2 linked regions of the Pelodiscus sinensis genome follow. The protein of the gene in region 1 interacts with the protein of each later gene in a pairwise test. Links are inferred from orthologs where the notes say so. Each region holds a gene or a part of one and is shown on either strand. Other genes may lie near its edges.

Region 1 (7,253 bases):
CCGTAGCGAGCGCCGCCCCAGGAAACGGCACAGGGAGGGTTTTACATGTGGGTAAGTGCAACACGGGGCAGGTTGTTCCCCAGATGCTGCAAGAGGGTGGCAGCCAGAGGCAGGTGCTGTCCGGGTGTGATTCCAAAGCAGACCGGTGGTGTGCAGAGAGGGGCCTGGAGTACAGGGGAGGTTTCTCAGAGGAGGTCAGTTAGTTGGGGGGGGGGGGGGGGGGGGGCAGTAGAATGACAGTTACTTAGCTCTCTCCCCGCAGGGAAAGGTTCTAGAGAACAGGACCAGCAAGAGGAGGGTTCCCCCAGCCAGGTTTTCCCAGGATGGCCCCTTGCCCAGCAGAGCTGTCCTGGATGAAAGCGTTCCAATTGCTTAGGTTTCTGTAGCCCAGAGGCAACAACTCTCAGCACTAGCCCACACTGCCCAACACTTCATGTGGTTAGCCTGGGATGGGTCCTATCTCCCTGGCAGAGGGAAACTGACAAGGAAGCTAGCCCCATACTCACCCCACAGCAGCAACTCCTAGCCCAAGGAGTTGGCAGGCTCAGCTCTCCACCCTGGACATTGTGACCCGGCCTAGCTACCACGCAGGTTACAGCTCTGGACCACTGCCCCCATACACCAGGTCACAATGGCACTCAAATGTAGCCGAGGGCACACACCTGCAGGCCAGACCAAAGCTGACCACCCACTGCGACCTTGTGCGAAAGGGTCCCTTTGCAGTGCTGGAGGGGAGTCAAGCCCTATGGGGCAGCAGCCCTCAAGGACAGGAGGGTCGGAGGAAAGGTCAAAGAAGGAGAATTTTGCTGAATCTGGGACTCCTCCTGGGAGCTCTGCTAGTCAGTGGAGAAAGCAAATGGGTAGATACAATCTTAGGGCATGTCTACACAGCAGGGCAAAAGTCAAATTAAGCTACGCAACTTCAGCTACATCAATCCCATAGCTGAAGTGGAAACAGCTTCATTTGGATTTCAGCATGCTCTACACAACAAGAAGTCAAAGAACACTCTCCCTTCAACATCCCTTACTCCTCATGAGATGAGGGTTACAAGTGTTGGAGTAAAAACTCCTCCAGCTTGACATTATGTCCAAGTAACAGCTTGCTGTGTAGATGCGCTTTATTTTAGAACATCCACTATTCTGAAATAACACTGCAGTACAAACATACCCCAAGCGTGCTGTGCAAACATTAGCTGCTTGGTGCAAGTCCATGAGGTCACAGGAACCTAGGGAGAATAGGTAGGTTGTAGCAATAGAGTCAGGCAGTGGTAATAATGTAATGATACTTACTACTTGCATAATAAAGGTTAAAGGTGAACTTCCAGTACATAATTAATAACAATGCAGTGGATTTTTTGTTTCACCTTCCAAAGCATAGAGTTTTAGTAAAGACCTAGTAGCTCCCTCGTTTTTGCTACCCACACAGTGCCACCTTCCACTCATGAGTAACAATGCAGGAAAGGGATTGGAAACTGTCTAGTAAAGCAAGTTATTACTCTCATTCTGTTCTACTTTTCCAACTGCCTAAAATAGCAAGGATGAATAATTTGATACCCTTGTGTTTTAAACTACAGATAAATTCCAAGGCAACTAGAATATGCCAGCTTGTCTTGATTCCTGTGTTTTTAGAAAAGGAGGTATTACACAGCCTGCGGTTAAAGCTGTGTAATTAGAGAACCTCTGAGCAAACCCTGTATTTCAGCACAGAACCTTGGGGGGGGGGGGGGGGGGGGGGAAGAAAGATAAGAAGTTGCCTATGAATCCTGGGCTCCAACCTGGCCTCCAAGTAGTTCTATATTGGACACTTGCTCTTTAAGACACTTCCATAATCATAACAGGTACAGTTCACCCAGTGATTTCCCCTTCAAGCCAAGAGTTCTGGTGGAGCTAGAACTTCTGTTTGTGCACCATTCCTTTCAGCTTGTTTCTTGACATACCTGAACTCCAGAGAACAATTCAGAAGTGGATTCCAGTCAAGTTTTTGCTGCCAACTGCTCTGTCAATTTCAGGTGAAAGGAACCTTGGATCATCCTGCCTTTCTACAGCACAAGTACACTTGTGAGAACACCTAAGTTGGCAGGTAACTTGCAAAGGAGCAGGATCTCTTCAAGCAAGAGGCAGTTTTGTGAAACTTGAATGAAACTTAGAGAAACTGAACTTCACCCATCTAGTTTCATTTTTCCCAGCTGTTTAAATATTTTGCTATTTTGAAAGACCAAATCAGTACAGACCTTAATGTAAGCTTATGCATGGAAGCTTGTCATTTCAGATTCTTTTTTAATTAAATGCTAAAGGAGTTGTGTTCTTCACCCAGCAAGGCTCAAAGTGCCAGAAAAGTCTACAAGCAATTCTTCCCCTCCCAAGAAGGGGTTTTCCAGGCTGCACAGTTCCTTCCTCAGCAAGACAGACTATTTCAAAAAAGTTGGTGCTGGTGCTTGCGCTCTCCTCAGGTGATCAAGTAGTTACATGTCCAGTGAAGTTACCACAGCACATTCTAAGCAAGCACATTTAGTCTTAAGGTATGAGCACTACAGAACAAATAAAAGAACCTACATGTATGGTAGGAAAACTGGAGATCCACCCTACCTTGCTGTGTCCCCCCACCCCCCACAAGGCTTCAGTTGCAGTCCCTCCCAGCTGAGGCTATTATGAACCTTAACCCAGATCACCCTGTTTTGCACAGCTTGGGTCTGAGGTCCAGCCTTCAGGGTCAGATAATCCAGGGACAATGGTACCCCCTCCTCAGGGCATAAAGTCAATGTTTTTTTTTTTTAAGCCCAACCTTCAGATGGCATTTCCATTCACCCCCCAGGAATTCCACTTCACACACACTGACTTCAGAGACCATTCTTGTCTATCACTTCATTCAGTGTGGTTCATCGGTCAAACAGAGCATTTGCCTTCAAACACAGTTGGTTCAGAGGGAAAAGCAAAGGATTTGTACTTTGAGCAGAGCTACACAGGACTTGAAGGGAAGTCTCAGAACTCACTGAGTATATGGATTAGGAACAAAACTGCCTACTTTTACCTTTACCAGCAAGGGGAAACAGATTTGAGCAGTCCCGCTTACAGCAAGGCCATTAATAGATACTCCACACCCCCTGCTGTACTCAATGTGAGGCAAGAAATGCCCTCTCCATTTTCAGAAACCACAACTTCCACAGGATTGATTGTTTTAAAATATATTTAAGTATCATTAAAGTATCATTATATACAATTAAGAACCATACAAAGCGTTACACTCTTCAATTAGCAGAACAGATCCATCTAGGACTAGGTTGTCCACAAAATTTAGACTTAACGCAATAAATCAGTGTATGCAACTGGCAATAGTTTTATTGATTGGCATTTGTAAAAAGGAATGCTGTAGCCAAGAGTTCTTGAAAGTGTCATTATTGCCCCCCCAAATGCCTCTGGCAACATGCTGCACCCAGACCCTGGTAGACCTCAATACTCCATAACTGGCTAGGACTGTTGCTGCCTCCAGGGACCTTGTTAGGGCTCTTATATTCTGACGCTACAGGAAAGACAAAAATCTTCCAATTTTGCAATTCAAATTCTTGATTAATATCATGAGCACACCATGGGCGGATTACAAGACCCATGGATCTTGCTTAAGGCTGAGCCACATTTACAATTTCCTTTATAACTGCCAGTTTAAAGTGGCTGCAGCACAGCTGCCAGACTGCCCAACACAAGATTGGTTTATATGTGTAAATACTATGATTCTATAGCATGTCCATCAGATAACACAAAGGTTCCCTCCCCTTCCCCCCTCCCCCCAGCAGAAAGCACTGAGAATGTGGGTGCAAGGCCAGCTCATGAGTCTGAGCTTCAGACCCACATCTAACATTTCACACTAAAGTTTTTAACTCCACATCTCACTCCCAGACAAATCATCATAAAGCTAAAACATTCAGCTCCAGTACAAAGTGAGAGTGGGGTGTGAAGAGCACGCAGGAAAACAGATCGGGTGTAAGCGCTTTTCATATTGCAAGGCAGAGTTCCTCAGACCTGAAAAGGAGGAGGGGCAGGGAAGATTATTAATTTAAAAAATGCCTATTCTTTATTGTAACATAAGCTAAGGGAGAACCTGGCTCCAAGATCCCAGCCGCAAACCAGTGCAAATCCCAGCAGCTCTAGGCTTTAGATCCCAAGGGCAGCTGCACCTGCAAAGGGTTATTCTATTCTATGCCAAAGCTTTTGAAATAGTTCAAGCACCACAACGGAAGCTTCACCCCTTACCTGCTCACTGGGTGCACTGCATTTGCTGGTGCTGCACATAAAGCCATTTGTAGCCATTTACTAACACTAAGTTGCTTCAGCACTGCCAGGCAAGAGACTGCCTGCAGACACACAAAGGATGCCTTACAGTGACTTCTGTCCCTCTAACCCTAATACACTATTAGCCAGCCTCTCAGGAGGCACAGCTAGACCATAAAGACTGCCAAATGGCAAATCCACCTCTCCACATCCACCAAGAAAAAACACCAGGCAGTCTGGTGACTGTACAATGAACCCTTCTTCCCAAGGGTCAAGTGAAGTCATAAGCTTTATGAAAAGTCTCCATAAGGGCATGATATTGTTACAAGTGCTAAGAAATGGAATAATAGGCCACCCACAATTCTAAACTACCACTTAAGCTACAGATAGAGCTGCCTGTTCCTCCTCTCTACCTTTCTGCCTCAGTGTGGCGCAAGTTTTCTTTCTATCCCTGAACTTCAGCTCACGTATCAGTCCAGTGCCAAAATCAGTTGGAGAGCAACAAATTAAATATGCAAAACTTACCATATACGTCTAAGATGCAGGTTAATTATCAGGGTCTGCAAGAGAGGACAAAGGATGTTAAGAGTCCACTTCTAAGACAAGGCTGTGCTGCACAAATAGCACTCCTACCAATCATAACTATTCTAATGCAGCGCTGGGAGAGGTCTTATCACTCCAGCAGCCAGACGGAGAAATAAAGAAAGAAAGGATTCCCACACCAGGAAAGTAAGGAAAAGGTAGCAATCAATGGTCTTCAGCTGGCCTTTGAAACTGCCTTCCTACCCAGGAGGATACAGAAGTGGCTGTTAGACCCAAGCCAGCAAAAGACCAACTCTGGCTTGTGAAGAATTGCATCTGAGATAAAGAGGGTGAAAATTATGATCTGCAATGACCTCTTTGTGTATTAGGGTTAGCTGGCATGTTCTGCTTATTTTAGCTTAGTGACATATTTTGATCTGTCTGTTTTCACTTGCAACCACTTAATTCCTACTTTTTATACTTGGTAAAAAAAGTGTTTATCATCAAGCCCAGTGTAAACTTGTCAGAGGAGGGGGGAGCCAGAGATATGCATCTCATTCACTGATAAGGCTCCTTGTGTAAAGCTTCTACAGAGTAAGCAGATTTATTTGGGGGTTTAAGTACCATCTGAGTGCTGTGCTCCTGGATGCTGCCAAAGTGCTATAGGTGAGCTGGTTCAGTGACTATACTGCTCTCCACAGGGACTGTTACCCCAACTCTGTGCCTTGGCTTGGGGAGACCAAAGCTTCTGGTAAAGCCATACAGGGGCTTGGGGTCCCATAGAGGGCAGGTAGGCAGGCTCAGTGGTATGATCAGCATATTGGGCGGCAGACTCAAGGGGACTTTTGTGATTCGACCCATCACAGACAGGAGAGGCTCTGTTGCTCACATAGCTAATGCTGCTCACCGTGGGTCGTTTAGTTTTGTTAGCAGGACAGCGCCTACATGGGAAACCCTACAGCGGCACTACTGTACCTCTACAGACCTGGCAGCAGCACCTCCAATAATTCTACAAGTTACTCTCATTTCCTCCACTGCTACTTGATGTTCCAATATATTGTATTAAATGTACACATTCTCTTTAGCAGTTAGAGACTGTTCCACTGGAGCCCGGTGGCCAAAGGTGCCCAGAGACGAGACTTGGGGAACGCACCCTATTACATTACATTTTAAAACGACGGGGGAGGGGGACACTAGGGATGTCAATGTGTAGTTGACTATACGATTAACCGATAAGCACTGTCAACTACATTCACCCCTTCCCTGTACCCGGGGGACGGGGGAGGCAGGAGCCAGTGCCCTCAGGGAGCTGGTTTCAATAAAGCGCCACACAACCACTGGACTCTCCTGCCTGCCCCTCCCCTCCGCGCAGTTGCCTCTGATTGAGAGGTAGCAGTACTGAGGGTGAGGTAAGCAGGCTGGAGCCATTCGCCCAGGGAGCCAGCTTTCAAGCAGGCTCTCCATAACTGCTGGCTCAGCAGTCTCACCTGCCACCTTGTGCTGTTTTCTGATACAGAAGGAGCAGCCGCCAGATGACAAGCACACTGGCTGCCAGCCCCACCCCCAGCAACCATCAATAGTTGTGTAACCCCTAAGATTTCATGCAGTTACACGGCTGTTCAATTGCACGATCTCCAACAACCCTAGGATACACCAGATTTGTGACTAAACAGACTACCTGCTTTCTCTGACAAGTGTAGGACTGGACTATCCCTAGGGGTGTGTGGTCACTGGGACTGCCACCCCCTCCACCCAGGCCCCACCTTTTCCCATGCAGGTCCTGCCCCCACCCACTGCACCCCTTACTCAGGCGAGAGAGCTTGGGGTGATAGCCAGATGGTGGGGGGGGGGAGAAGAGAGGGGCTAGCACCAGCAGCAGGGGTCACCCGCTCCCCCAGCACTCAAGCCAGTGGCAGGAAGCAGAGTGACCTGGCCCCAGCCCGCTCCAGTGTGCTCCTTCAGCCTAGCTCCCAGCCCTGCAGCTTGGGGAGCAGAGAAGGTTACTGCCACTTCCCGTTGCCGTGAAGAAGCATGACTTGGCTGCCCTGGACCCTGAAGGGCTCCCTAAAGCCCAACCCACCTAAACCATACAATGAACAGGACAGTTTGGCTGCAGGATCTCAGGAGCAAGAGAATCCAAATCCCATGTGCAATTCCTGACAGAGGATGTGAACAAAATAGATACAGTGAAATACTCACCCCATCTGACTTTCTTAGGAGTCTGAAGAGCGGAATGCTCCACATGGCATTCATATCTATCATTCCCATTAGGAGTGAATGGGACATGCACCAAGCGCTGGAAAGTCCAGTCGTCATTGAAGGAAAGGTCGGACATTTCCACTCCATCCATCTCCTTGTCATTCTTCAGCAGCTTGATGTGAATGTTGGGAGGGTGGAATCCTTCCACGTAGCAGTTCAGGACATTTGACTTGCCATTCTCGGCTGGGTGGCGGGAGTACACATGGACT
Region 2 (6,849 bases), on another chromosome or scaffold:
GAATCAGCAACACCCCTTCTTGTCCCTTATTCTACTGAAGAAGCAACACACAGCAAGTTAAATGGGATTTGCAGGAATCTTTAACCGTGTATAGGTCTTAGTATGAACCAGAAGGGAAACACTGCAATTGGCACATTCAGTTGTTTTTGTTGGTTCCCCCCTCTTAAAGGTCATTACACCTACAAATGGGAGTGCAGATAACTCAGCCCTAACTGCATCTTATTTGATGGACCATTTCAGTCGTGATTTTTTCTCCAACATGATATTTTAGAAGGGCTAGATTTATGGCAGATTTATTCTTTCCCTCCCCTTCCTACTCCCACACACTTTGGATCAAACAGTACTTTGCTGGCAAATCTTATGTCAGTGACAGCTTTGCAACGACATGTTGCTCTATGGCACTGATGAAGTTATGTCAAGACGCCTACTAATAATGTCTGGTCAGGGATTTGTTTCCAGCATTAGACTTTTACTCTCATGTTAAAAACTGGCAAGTGCAATAAAACTTCTGCAAGAAAACTTAAATTTGCTTTGGAGAAAGGTGGGGGGGGGGGATTTTTTTTTTTTTTAAACAAGTGCCATAGCTCTAAATTAAACAAAAAACAGGACTATGTAGCACTTTAAAGACTAGCAAGATGGTTTATTAGGTGATGAGCTTTCGTGGGCCAGACCCACTTCCTCAGATCAAATAGTGGAAGAAAATTTTCCTAAATTTTCTTCCACTATTTGATTTGAGGAAGTGGGTCTGGCCCACAAAAGCTGCTCACCTAATAAACCATCTTGCTAGTCTTTAAAGTGCTACATAGTCCTGTTTTTTGTTTCAGCTAGACCAGACTAACAGGGCTACATTTCTATCATCATAGCTCTAAATGCATCGCTCTCTTTATATGTGACCTAAAGAAGTGCCAGTAAGACTCTCCTGTAGCTCTGAAAGCACTAAAGGGACATCTACACTGAAATTAAAAACCAGCAATTGGCCTGTGTCAACTGACTTGGGTATGCAGGGCTTGGGCTAAGGGGCTGTTAAAGTGCTTGCAGACATACTCTGTGTGAAGGTGTTTAGCTAGCAGATCTTTCAGCTTTTAAAAAAGCCCGTTCACATCTTTTTTGCAGACACTTACCCATCCTTATCATCATACAGGTCTCTCAGATTGCCACTCACTTCCATATATCTCTAAAAAACAAAAAAACATGTTACAGTTATGCATATACTTTTGCTGCACTTCAGCACAACATGCAGAGTTAGGAAAAATAAGCTGCTTTCTTGGAAGCTTGCAAAAGCTTGCTTACATTTGAAATAACAATCCCACAAACTTGAGCTAAACAGACAAAGAAATGAAAGGCTGCTCAGTGAAAGGTAATGAAACATTATAGGGAAATTTAGCAGCTGAAAGTATTTTCAGGGAAATACAATATCTCGCTACCCAAGTCATTTCATGATCTTCTGTGGAGTTTTGCTGTTTAATAAATTAGCTGCAATGAAAATAATACAGCTGATTTAAAATATAGCTAAATGTTTTTAATGCTAAAACTGATGAGTTAGGGTGCAGGATGGAATTACTTATGTTCCATGTGCCCAGGTTCTGGTAAAAGGTAATGCAGATGCATCAAGCATTGTGCAAAATAAATCCTATAACTTCAGTATCAAGTATCTCTGCAGAATAAATATTGGTATAAATATGAAAACACTTTAAAAATTTGCAGATAGAACCAAATCTAGGCAAACTCAGCTCATGAACTTTATGGTAAGCAAAACTCCAGTAAATACTGTTATCAGCTTGCATATGTCTATCAGTTACTATGCCGCACACAAAACCATTTTTTTTTAACCTTGCACCCTGCAATCTTAATGTGTTATACCAGCAATTCTCAAACTGTGGGCCAGGACCCCAAAGTGGGTTCCAACCCTATTTTAATGGGATTGCAAGGACTCGCTTAGACTCACTGGGGCCCAGGGCCAAAGCTCAAACCCCACTGCCCGAAGCTAAAGCCAAAGACCAAGAATTTCAGCTCAGGTGGCAGGGCTCAAGTTACAGGCCCCATGCCTGGGACAAAAGCTCTTGGCTTCGGGCTTTGCCTCAACATCATGGCGGTGGGGTTTTGGCCCCACTCCCACCTGGGATGGTGCGGCTTGGACAGGCTCAGGTTTTGGTCTCTCTCCTAGGGTGGTATAGTATCTTCTGCTGTCAGAAAGAGGTTGCAGAGCAATGAAGTTTGAGAACCCCTGTGCTACACACATCCAGAAATACAGTTTGCGATGTATCGCTTAAGTAACTCACTACACCGAAACAGCCTGTGCTCCAGCCCATAATCTTTAGGGAACAAGGCGCGAGGGAAAGAGAAGAGGCGATACTCACGTCCTGCATCGCTCGGGTGCGATGATCAGAGTTAATCTGGTCCCGTAACTATAAGACAGATCAGAAAAAAAAGATTAGCCACGCTTTCCCCAACTCCAAATCTGGGAAAGTTCAGCAAAGAACAGTCTTCATCTGCCCCAGTCAGCTAGGGGTATGCGAGGAGTCGCTCACTGGGACAAAGGCTGCTGGTGGGTCATTGGCATCGCACTGCACTTGCACCGCGCTCTGACGGGAGGCGGCTTCACTGAGGTGGGGGAATTATGAGGGGGGCCACCCCTGGGACAGAGACGGGTGAACGGGGGCCCACGTCAGGGAGCCAGGGGCCCATGGGCCAGGAAGCTGCGCTGTGGGGGGCTGTCTGGTGCCCGGCTCGCCCCAGGACAGTCACTGCCCCGCACCCAGCCCTGCTGGGGGCCCCTCCGGGAGGGGAGGGCTGAGGCCGGCCCGACACGCGGGCGGAAGAGCAGGGCCCCTCCCCCCCGCACCGTGGATTTCTTAATCAGCATCTCCTTGGCCATCACGTCCATGAGCCGCTCCCGCTCCTCATGGTAGCGCCGCTGCTGCTCCAGGATCGTCTCCATCTTCCCCGCGCGCCAGCCGGAACCCTCCCTGCGGTGCGCCTCTGTCCCCGGCCCGACCGGAAACCCTCCCTCCGGTGCGCTCCCCTGTCACCAACCCGACCGGAAACCCTCCCTCCGGTGCTCCCCTGTCACCAACCCGACCGGAAACCCTCCCTCCGGTGCGCTCCCCTGTCACCAACCCGACCGGAAACCCTCCCTCCGGTGCGCTCCCCTGTCACCAACCCGACCGGAAACCCTCCCTCCGGTGCGCTTCTGTCCCCCGCCCGACCGGAAACCCTCCCTGCGGTGCTCCCCTGTCACCAACCCGACCGGAAACCCTCCCTCCGGTGCGCTCCCCTGTCACCAACCCGACCGGAAACCCTCCCTCCGGTGCGCTCCCCTGTCACCAACCCGACCGGAAACCCTCCCTCCGGTGCTCCCCTGTCACCAACCCGACCGGAAACCCTCCCTCCGGTGCGCTCCCCTGTCACCAACCCGACCGGAAACCCTCCCTCCGGTGCGCCTCTGTCCCCGGCCCGACCGGAAACCCTCCCTCCGGTGCGCCTCTGTCCCCGGCCCGACCGGAAACCCTCCCTCCGGTGCGCCTCTGTCCCCGGCCCGACCGGAAACCCTCCCTCGGGATGCGCCCCCCGTTGGACACTGACAGCAGAGTTCCGTGTGTTCCGTGTGCGTGTGTCCCTGCAGTGTGTGTGTGCATGTGCCCCCCGTGGGTGTGCATCCTTTGCATGTAGACACGTGTCCTATATGTCCTGTGTGCGCACATGCACGTGTAACGCCAAGAGGCAGAACCGAACCGGGGTCCTCTCTGCAGCTTAGTGCAAGAGCCTCTGTCCACAGCTTGAGCTAAAACCCAGTTGGCCTCAGATTCGGCTGTAGAACACGATCGCATAATTCTCTCTGTAAGCGGTCTCAGTGCCTTGTCGGACAGTGAACCCCCCCCCGTAGGTGTGGGGGGCTACATGTGCATATGCCTCTGTGTGTGTCCTTTGCATGGGTTGAATACCAGCTGTGTGTGCACGTATGTAAGTGCCACTAAGTGCCACCGAGCAGATTTAAATCTGGGACCTCTGGAGGTCACTATAAGAGTCTCTCACAGCTTGAGCTACGAAGCCAGCTGCCACTCAGCTTAGGCTGTAGAGCTCCCTTGTTCTTATCTCTGGCTGTAAGTGGTCTAAGTGCCACTACATAAGACAGTGAACCACATGAGATGGGTGGGTTACATACTTCCCCCCTAGCTGAGGAAGTGCATTCTGAGCTTGAGACCCAGTTGAAATTGCTGACAAGTGCCCACTGATAACCACCACGGGCCAGATTTGAACCTGAGCTCTTTGGAGTTTAGTATAGACCCTCTACAGCTTGAGCTATAAAGCCATCTACCACTTAGCTGTGGCTGTAGAGCTCCCTTGTTCTTATATCTAGCTGTAAGTGGTCTAAATGCCACTACATGGGACAGTGAACTTCACGAGGTGTGTGGGTTACATTCAGTCTATGTGAGTGCCCTGTGCACCTTATGCGTGGGTGCACATATGCCTGTGATCATTGTGCACTGTGTGTGTGTGTGAGACAGCTGCCATTGTCACCACTGTTGACAGCACAGGCCTAGCCCAGCCCCTTACTCCAAGCTGGAACCCCCTACCTACAAGTAGCATTGCCTGCTCTTCTAATTTCTTTGTGCATGTGCTGATAGTTGCAGGGTCAGTAAAACATTGTGTACATAGCCATCTCTGTCCTTGAAAATAAAGACGCTTCTAGCCCTCACCACTTCGCAGACAACATAACCTGAGCCTGGCCTGCAGGCTTAGAAATCAGAAAATAAATAAATATGTCCGCCCTTCACACACACCGAGTGTTTGCTTTAAATCTCATGATGTTTCAGCCAATCTCATGATTATTTGGCTCTGGCCCTTGACTCATGACTTTTGAGCACTTGGAGTTCACGGTGCAGTAAAAGGGAGGGGCTGTGGGCACAGCATTTGGGGTGCTCTGGCCTTCTTCCTCTCCTCTCTAGATCTGACCTGTGAAGAACAGCACAAAGAAAGCCTTTGAGTGCACTGCAAAGCCCGCTGCCTGATCAACAAGCATTGATGGAAAGCCCAAAGTGCCATTTTCATGGGTCGATAGTGCACATGAGGCGAGGGGGTATTAATTACATGACTGTTCTATGGATGACAATTCAGGCATGGGATAGGTCAGATAAGGCCTTGAAAGTAAAGACAGGTAGTTTGCACTTAATGCAGTGAAAGAAAGGTAAATGAGGGGAGGCTGAACAGAGGTACAAGACAGCACAGCGAGCCAGGAAAATGATCTATGCCAGAGGTAGCACATTGTAGGTGCACTGCCCGCTATGCCCCCACCAACATTTTAATTGCTAAATGGGGTGCCCCCATATGCCTCCTACCCATCAGAGTGGCCCTCATACCCCCTTCCCCCACAGGCACTAATTGCCCCTGATCTTTGCAGCAGCATTGAATGAAAACTTGACTAATGTCACCGAAAACCCTTCCGGTTCTACTCCTCAATACTAAGCACTGCTTTCCTGGCTGCAGAAGCAGGAAGTTGCCTGTTTGCCATGGAGACATAACTAGTAGGGCAGACCCACGCTCTGGTCTCTCCCAGCCCATTCACGGGAAGGTGAGCGTTGTAAGCTCTTGAGCTGTGGGAGCCCCGGGACAAAACAAGGGCTGGCTTGTGGCTTGTGTCCAGCAGATGGCAGGCTTTCGCTTTTCTGGAGAGCAGCTTGTGCACTCTCTCTCCCCTGAAGGTGGAACTAGCTGCTGCTCTCATCAGATGCGGTTTGGTTCTCTTGGCGTGATGGCAGCATTGGCCCCCTGTATCTGATTTAGAGCTGGTGCCTGCACAGCTCAGACCCGTGAACGGCTTTACATTCCCCCCTCTCCCGTGAGGAAGCGTGGGATCATTAGCCACCTCACACAGCTGGGGAGGTGAAGGCAGGGCAGTGACTTTGCCAAGGGCCACACGAGAAGTCTGTGGCGGAGCTGGGAGGTCAGGCCTGTGCCTTATTTGCAGCATTAGGCTCTGCCTCCCAGAAGTCACCGGTCTGATTCTTTTCCATAGCAGTGACCACTTGGTAGGTGCTGCTGTGGGGCTATCGGGCCCTGGAACTGGAGAATCTCTCACAGGAATCCTCTTCTGCATGGTGATACCCGAGATGGAGGCTTTTGCTCCCAGAAACTGCATTGTCAGTGCCCTAGCAAGACATCAATCCCATCTGGTCATTGCCCTGGGGCACCCAGACTCTACCCACCTCCTAGCCAGCTTAGTGGGATGAGCTCATCCTACGGCATGGGTAGAGGCCCGGTAGCAAGGGGGGGTTAGAAGGGGGGTTGACCTGCCAAGTGTCCCATTGGCGAGAAAACTGTGAATTTCTGCCAGGAAAAGCCCTGAATTCCAAAGAAAACGTCTTTTGTTTTGGCTGCTCAGAGCCGCTGCCCTCAAACCTTCAATTTGTTGTTCCCCTTCATTTATGGCCAGGCTTTCCCCTTCAACCATTCCCGTGGTGCAGCTGGGAGCTAACCACCATGGCGTAGTGACTCATCTGGGGCCCTCGGTGTTACGGAGCGCCAAAGGTGCCGCATCGCTGGGAGGGCCTGGCCTGGTGACCGAGCAGGCGAGTACCAGTCAGAGCCGACCTAGAACGAAGTGTGTGGCCCTCTGCCGCTGTCTCAGACATGGAAAAGCGTTACCTTGTGACAGACACATGTCAGATTCTCCTGACGTGCAGCGGGGTGGGGGGGAGTGGAGCCCCTGAATCATTTTATGGGGCCACTTGGCACCTTACCTTAAATTTTGCTCAACTCTTTGCAGTCACTTGGAAACCTCTATGTAAGGAGAACTAGCCAGGCTCAGTTTGAAACATGCCCTGGGGTGGGGGAGGGAGAAGAGGTGGGAAC

Evidence for each region.
Region 2: the proteins of TRIM69 (region 1) and SF3A3 interact in binary tests that used the Homo sapiens proteins (3 or more experiments, as listed by UniProt). The two-hybrid records come from large-scale screens. The link is inferred for Pelodiscus sinensis from reciprocal best matches to the Homo sapiens genes TRIM69 and SF3A3.

Annotation. Positions count from the first base shown.
Region 1 is NC_134724.1:36,833,799-36,841,051, reverse strand, and holds the start of TRIM69 (E3 ubiquitin-protein ligase TRIM69), read right to left. Parts: upstream 3,023-7,253; 5' UTR 507-3,022; intron 1-506. Other genes in the region: B2M (beta-2-microglobulin), read right to left, coding at 4,810-4,823, 6,985-7,253.
Region 2 is NC_134735.1:10,736,948-10,743,796, forward strand, and holds the start of SF3A3 (splicing factor 3A subunit 3), read right to left. Parts: upstream 3,013-6,849; 5' UTR 3,003-3,012; intron 2,963-3,002; 5' UTR 2,939-2,962; coding exon 2,843-2,938; intron 2,406-2,842; coding exon 2,358-2,405; intron 1,175-2,357; coding exon 1,122-1,174; intron 1-1,121. UniProt on the Homo sapiens protein: Component of the 17S U2 SnRNP complex of the spliceosome, a large ribonucleoprotein complex that removes introns from transcribed pre-mRNAs.